Linked DNA regions of Mus musculus. The protein of the gene in region 1 purifies or fractionates together with the protein of each later gene. This does not show direct contact. Links are inferred from orthologs where the notes say so. Each region holds a gene or a part of one and is shown in the gene's direction. Other genes may lie near its edges. The genes, in order: Foxm1 and Mybl2.

What was found.
Region 2: the proteins of Foxm1 (region 1) and Mybl2 purify together in Homo sapiens (affinity purification with western blotting; 3 studies listed by BioGRID and IntAct, with this or other methods). This does not show direct contact. The link is inferred for Mus musculus from reciprocal best matches to the Homo sapiens genes FOXM1 and MYBL2.

What each region holds. Positions count from the first base shown.
Region 1 is NC_000072.6:128,365,701-128,369,516, forward strand, and holds part of Foxm1 (forkhead box protein M1), read left to right. Parts: 5' UTR 1-4; coding exon 5-500; intron 501-1,586; coding exon 1,587-1,738; intron 1,739-3,593; coding exon 3,594-3,785; intron 3,786-3,816. UniProt on the Homo sapiens protein: Transcription factor regulating the expression of cell cycle genes essential for DNA replication and mitosis. Plays a role in the control of cell proliferation. Also plays a role in DNA break repair, participating in the DNA damage checkpoint response.
Region 2 is NC_000068.7:163,067,861-163,071,676, forward strand, and holds part of Mybl2 (myb-related protein B), read left to right. Parts: intron 1-229; exon of another isoform or gene 230-295; coding exon 296-455; intron 456-3,816. UniProt on the Homo sapiens protein: Transcription factor involved in the regulation of cell survival, proliferation, and differentiation. Transactivates the expression of the CLU gene.

The sequences.
Region 1 (3,816 bases):
CACGATGAGAACCAGCCCCCGCCGGCCACTGATTCTCAAAAGACGGAGGCTGCCCCTTCCTGTCCAGAATGCCCCGAGTGAAACATCAGAGGAAGAAGCAAAGAGGTCCCCTGCCCAGCCGGAGCCTGCTCCAGCACAGGCCTCCCAAGAGGTGGCAGAGTCCAGCTCTTGCAAATTTCCAGCCGGAATCAAGATTATCAACCACCCCACCACGCCCAACACACAAGTGGTGGCCATCCCCAGCAACGCTGATATCCAGAGCATCATCACAGCGCTAACTGCCAAAGGGAAGGAGAGCGGCAGCAGCGGGCCCAACCGGTTCATCCTCATCAGCTCTGGGGGGCCCTCCTCTCACCCTTCCCAGCCTCAAGCCCACAGCAGCCGGGATTCCAAGAGAGCAGAGGTGATCACGGAGACGTTGGGACCGAAGCCAGCAGCTAAGGGTGTGCCTGTTCCCAAGCCTCCTGGAGCCCCTCCAAGGCAAAGACAGGAGAGCTATGGTATGTGCTCTGCCAGGCAGATGGGTATGGAGGTTGGCCTCTCTCATCACTGGAAAGGTCTTCAGTCAGTCATGCTGATGTCTGGTAGACAGGTTCTAGGTGAAGGCTTTTGGTTTTTGGCCCCTTAATGTAGCATTACTATGCTCTCTTTATGTTGGAAAAGGGTTGGTTGGTTGGTTGGTTCATTCTTTGTGTTGACATGTGTCTTGGTGACTGTTCTGTTACTCTAAAGACACACCATGACCAAAGCAACTCTTATAACAGAAAGCATCTTTTGCTTACACTTCCAGAGGTTTAGTCCATTATCAACATGGTAGGAAGCATGGCGGCAGGCAGGCAGGCACTGGAGCAGTAGCTGAGAGTTACATCCTGATCTGGGCCAAGAGAGGCAGAGAGACCCTGGGCCTGGCATGGGCTTTTGAAACCCCAAAGCCCCCACCCCCACTGGCGCACTTCCTCTAACAATGCCACACGCCCTAATACTTCTCATACTTTAAATATCACTCACTGGTGACTAAGCGTTCAAATATGTGCCTATGTGGGCCATTCTTTTTATTTTTTTAAATTTATTTTATTATATGTAAGTACACTGTAGCTGTCTTCAGACACTCCAGAAGAGGGCATCAGATTTCGTTATGGATGGTTGTGAGCCACCATGTGGTTGCTGGGATTTGAACTCCGGACCTTCGGAAGAGCAGTCGGCGCTCTTAACCACTGAGCCATCTCGCCAGCCCCCCTATGTGGGCCATTCTTATTCACTCCTGTAAAGAATTGAGTTTCCATTTTCAAGTAATAAACTGAAGCCCAGGGAAGAAAAGTGACTTTTTTGTGTAGTTCTCCAAAATTTGCTTTTACAGATGCCTACGGTCCCTTCTGGCTCATTGAAAGGCAATTTGTTATTCATAAATGTCTCCTGAAGTCCATAGTGGAGCAGAATAACTTAGAGCCACAACGATTTACCATGCATTCGTTCCCTGTCCCTTAGAGTACAGGTCTTAGAGGGGTTATTCCCAGCCATTGATTTTGGTAGAGCTGCCGGGCATCTGAAGAGGCTGCTAATGGAGCCTTGGGTTATTTTCCCTCTAGCTGGTGGTGAGGCGGCAGGCTGCACGCTGGACAACAGCTTAACCAATATCCAGTGGCTTGGAAAGATGAGTTCTGACGGGCTGGGCCCCTGCAGCGTTAAGCAGGAACTGGAAGAGAAGGAGAATTGTCACCTGGAGCAGAATCGGGTTAAGGTGAGCTATTCTGTCACTCATTCGGGAAGACGGAACTAAAACAGGGAATTTCTAAGACAAGAAATGGAGCAAGGAGCTACTGGAACAACATCCAAGTTCTGTTAGCACTACTTAAGGCTTTTCTATGTAATGTTTCTTTGTTTTGTTTTGACTTTTCCAGACAAGGTTTCTCTGTGTAGCCCTGGCTGTCCTGGAACTCACTCTGTAGACCAGGCTGGCCTCGAACTTAGAAATCCACCTGCCTCTGCCTCCCAAGTACTGGAATTAAAGGTGAGCGCCACCACTACCCGATCATAATGTTTCTTTTAAATATTGTTCTTTTGGAGGTATTGGAGAGTGAACCCAAAGCCAAATACTACATAAGACTATGTGCCACCAGGGCGGTGGTGGTGATGCCCGCCTTTAAGGGAGGCAGTGGCAGGCCTGGTCTGCAGAGTGAGCTCCGTGACAGCCAGGGCTACACAGAGAAACCCTGATTCAAGTGAGACAGGGTACTACTAAGCTACATTTCCAGCCCTTTTTAGTTTTACTTTGAAGCAGGGTCTAGCTAACACTGACCTTGCTTGGGCCCTCCTGCCTCTGCCCCTGAGTAACTAGGATTATATGTGCCACCACAGCCTCCTCGATGACTTCTGAGTGACTTTACTGTCTGGGACCTCTCACTTTCCCCATCGTTGTTCATTAAAGGCATAATCCTGGCTTTGTATTTCTCTAGTACTGGGTTTAGTGGCCCTTTGTAAATATTCAGGAAATGATGAAGAGTCGCGGTTAAAGAAGCCACTTGGACTTTTAAAGTGGCTTCCCAGCAGTACAAATCGAATGTAGCATCGTTAACACAACAGTTTTATTAGGAGATACACTGTTATATTAATAGCAAAGTAAATTCTATAGGAATGTTATTTGTATTAATTAAACTATATATTTAAACATATATCTGGACTTGTAAAACTATATCTCAAATTTTTAAACTGAATGATCAGATCTTTGTCTAAGACTCGTCCAAGTGTGTCTTTTGTAAGCATTTTCCCACAATTTTGACAGTTTCTTCTATACCTACACTGAGACAAGGTGGGCCTTACGTCTCATCAGGACTACATGTGGATCTCAGACCTAAGTCCTTTGACCTGCAAGTCTGAAAATTCATACAAATTATTGTGCGGATCCCAGCTAGAGAATCTACTGGAAGAGACCTCATTTGGTTTTTGCTTTTGAAATAGGATCTTATGTAACCTGGGATAGCTTAGAAAAGACTAGCTGAGGGTGACCTTAAACTCTTGCTCGTCCTGCCTCAACTCCTCCAGTGCAGAAAGTACAGATATATGCCACCATGACCCGTTTTTCCTTATGTGGTGCTGGAGATCAAACCCAGGCCTTCATGCATATCGATCGGGCAAGCACCCCATCAGACTGAGCCATGCCCCAGCCTCAGGCTTCCCAGGCAATTTACTTTGAGGAAAAGGATGGAAGGGAATCCGTTCCTAATTGGTTGGGGCCCAGACAAACTAATTAAACTTTAATTCCATTACAAAATAATGGTCTCAAATGAGTTTGTTTCTGTTATCCCCTAGAGCAGTGATTTTTCAACCTGTGGGTCATGACCTCTTTGGGGTTGCATGTTAAGTATCCTGAATATCAGATATTTACATTAGAACTGTCACAGTAGCAAAGGTACAGTTATGAACTAGCAACGAAGGCAGTTTCATGGTTCGGGGTCACCACGTGAAGAGCTGTCTATTAAAGGGTCAGGTAGGAAGTTCTGGAGGATGTTCTCAATGGGTCTGGGGTGGGGAGTGGGTCTCGTAAACTTCCCTGTCATTCTCTCTTCTCTTTCCCTTTGGCTTCTCTCACCCTACAGGTTGAGGAGCCCTCAGGAGTGTCAACATCTTGGCAGGACTCTGTGTCTGAGAGGCCACCCTACTCTTATATGGCCATGATACAGTTTGCCATCAACAGCACTGAGAGAAAGCGCATGACCTTGAAGGACATCTACACTTGGATTGAGGACCACTTCCCTTACTTTAAGCACATTGCCAAGCCAGGCTGGAAGGTACTCTGTCCATAGCCAATGTCAAGGCCAT
Region 2 (3,816 bases), on another chromosome or scaffold:
GTCGGTGCTCTTAACCGCTGAGCACCGTCCAGCATCCCGCCCCTGTCATTTCTCAATGGTTTCTCCAGATGTGCGCTCTGGGTCAGTCCAGCTTGTTCTCCATCCTGCCTTGAGTTCCACATTTGCTCATTTCATAGAGCTAATGAGGAAATTCACTAAACCTTCGAGGGCTGGAAACAGTGAGGCTTCACTGTACAGCTGGAGGATGCCTGTGTCCAGCCCTTCACGTTCAGGTGTGGGGAGAAGCTGCGGCAGCCGAGAGCTGCGTGTCAGAGGCCCCGGGTTTTCCCCACAGGACGGACAATGCTGTGAAGAATCACTGGAACTCCACTATCAAAAGGAAAGTCGACACGGGAGGTTTCCCAGCCGAGTCCAGGGACTGCAAGCCTGTCTACTTGCTCCTGGAGCTGGAGGACAAGGAACAGCACCAGGGTGTCCAGCCGGTGGACGGCCAGGTGAGTGCTGGGCGGTCTTGCGCTCTGGCTCCGGGCTCCACAAGCTGGCTCTGGGCTGCCGCTTGTGGGTTGGTTTGCTTTGTTTCCTGGTCATCTGACCCTATCTCCCCAAGAACTTCCCCAGAGCCACCCACCCATTTCTGCTCTAGGGTCTGAGAGTGAGTGAGTGAGTGTGGCCAGCACGTTTCTAGAACTTAACTTGTGACAAATCAACCCTAGTTCTCTTTCAGGCGAAGTGAGCAGCATGATGGGTAACTGAGAACGGGCTGGGGAGGGGTTCTCAGCCTCTGTCCTCAGCAACTGTCTTCTTGTCAACCTGCCCATGTGGAGGTCAGAGGACAATTCATGGTGACTCATATTTTCTTTCCTTTTTTTGGTGATGTGTGTGGCGGGGTGTCTTGAGACAGGCTCTTTCTATGTAGCTCTGTCTGTCCTGGAATGTGCTATGCAGGCCAGGTTGGCCTAAGACTGCCACCCAGGTCCTGGGATTAAAGGAAGACATGGACCGCCATGTTTGTTCTGCCTTCAGAGACCAATGTGTAGGAGTTGGCTCTCTCCTGCCATGAGTTTCCACTCGTTCTACCTGCTGAGCCATCTCACCAGCCCACGTTTCCAGTTATAGAGTTATGTATTACATGTGTATATGTGTGCTGTGGGTACGTAGGAGCCCACAGAGATCAGAGGAGAACATCAGATCCCTTGAAACTGAAGTTCGCTCCATGAAGGTTCTGGGAACTGAACATGGGTCCTCTGCAAGAGTAGTAAATATTGTTAATTGCTGAGTGGTCTAGCTCCTTGTTGGCCATCTTTTTTTTTTTAATGGCATTAATTTTAAAAATATATTGAGACATAAGATATCTTGGCATATATTCTGAATTAGGATAATCCTATAAAAGCACATTGGTGCATTTCTAGCTGCGTAAACCACGACAAGTAAGATTTCCACATTAGTATCTCCCCAGAATCCTTTGTGTTTTTCTGTCAGATTTTAAGGCCCGCTATCTCCCATACGCTATCTGTTTTCCATCTATCACAGTTTGTGATGGTATGTATATCTTTGGACCAGGGAGTGGCGCCATCTGGAGGTGTGGCCTTGTTGGAATAGGTGTGACTTGGTTGGAGTAGGTGTGTCACTGTGGGTGTGGGCTTAAGACTCTCACCCCAGTTGCCTGGAAGTCAGTCTTCCACTAGCAGCCTTTGGATGAAGACATAGAACTCTCAGCTCTGCCTGCGCCATGCCTGCCTGGATGCTGCCATGCTCCCACCTTGATGATAATGGACTGAACCTCTGAACCTGTAAGCCAGCCCCAATTAAATGTCGTTTTTATAAGGCTTGCCTTGGTCATGGTGTCTGCTCACAGCAGTAAAACCCTAACCAAGACACAGTTATAAACAGTGAAACTGATAGGTGTGTGTGCTAAATCGCCACTCCCCAAACAACTACATTTTCCCCTTGTGTCCGTATATGTGTGAGTGTGAGCACGTGTTAGAGGTCAAAGGGAAACTTTTGGCTGTCGGTTCTCTCCTACCTTGGATTCTGGAAATTGAACCCTGGGTGTAGGGCTTGGGTAACAAACACTCACCCGCTCAGCCATCTTTCCTCATCCTAGCCACACATTCCTGGTTTTTTTTGGAGACAGAGTCTTTTACCCAGGCTCAAACTTCCTGTGTAGTTGAGGCTAGCCTTCAGCTTCTGGTCTTCTCCATGTAAGGTCAAATGCATATGCACTGCACATGCCCAGTTTATTTGGTGCTGGGGGTTAAATGTAGCAGTACTAGGGCTGTCTAGAGGAACAGCTTATGAACTGAATATATATGTATATGTGTGTATGTGTACTTATGCATAATATATATAAATCCATATTATACATATAAAATGGAGGTTTATTATAATGTCTTACAAGCAAGCTCTGGTCCAGTTTGTCCAAGAATCCGGTAGTTGTTCAGTCCACAAGACTGAATGTCTCAGATGATCTTCATTATACACTGGAATTCTGAAGTAGGCTCTCATGCCAGTGGAGGTATGGACTTGCCAGCCAGAGTGAGGGCAAGCTGGCAAAGAAAGCAAGCTTCCTTCTTCCGTGTCTTCTAGAGGCTGCCAGCAGGTGGGGCCCAGGTTAAAGGAAGGTCTTCCAACCATAAAAGATCTGGGTTAAAAGTGATTTTTTTCCTATTTTAAAGATTTAATTAAGAAAAATTCCTCAGGAGTGGACCCAGCTCCTTGGGTTTCAGTTAATTCCAGATGTGGTCAAGTTGACACCCAAGAAGAGCACCCAAGAAGAGCTGTCTCGTAGGGCTTCCTGCAAGGCAAGCAAGCACTCAACCAGCTGAAGGCATCACATTGTAAACTGTCTGCAGTGATTTGTGTTTTACATGTAAATCTAAACCAAGAGGTCAAGAAACTGATTTTTTTTTTTAAATGTAAGATTGGAAACAAAGATGACACTGGGAAGATTTCACAGTGAACGGTCCCCTTCTGCTTTCTGTGAGCTGAGGTAGTCAGTGGCATGTGTGTTTGTGTCGTAGTTCGGGTTTTACTGCTATGAACAGACACCAGGACCAAGGCAACGCTGATAGGACAACATTTGTAAGGCTTACAGGTTTAGAGGTTCAGTCCATTATCAAGGCGGGAACATGGCAGCATCCAGGCAGGCACCGTTCAGGAGTTGCTGGGAGTTCTACAGTCTTCATCTGAAGGCTGTTAGCAGAATACTAACTTCCAAGCAGCTAGGATGAGGGTCTTAAAGCCCACGCCCACAATGACACACATACTCCAACAAGACCACACTTTGGGGGGGGTGGTTTTTGTTTTTTTGTTTTTTCAAGACAGGGTTTCTCTATATAGTCCTGGCTGTCCTGGAACTCACTTTGTAGACCAGGCTGGCCTTGAACTTAGAAATTCGCCTGCCTCTGCCTCCCAAAGAGGTGCTGGGATTAAAGGTGCGCCACCACACCCAGCAAGACCACACACTTCTAAATGTGCCACTCTCTGGGCGGAGCACATACAGACCCATCACAGTTTGTTTTGTACCCTTTAATTTGTTCTTTAGTTTCAAAGTAATTTATACACACTATATTGTAACATATCCCTCTTACTGCTTAGTGGAGATTGGCTTCTTGTTCCACCTGCTAGAGATGGGTTTGGCCCCCTGCTGACAAACGCAGCTATGTAGGGGTATGACATAGGTGTGGAAAGAGAGGGGGAAGAGAGTAAAGGGGTGTATGTCTCTTCGTCCTAATTCCCCAGAGGTCTCCTCACTTCTGGCAGTGTCCTTGATTTCTGTCACAGCTTTGGGATAAAGTATGTTGTGTTTTCAGATTCTATACTGAGCACCCTGAAGAGTTTCAGGGAGCGTGCATG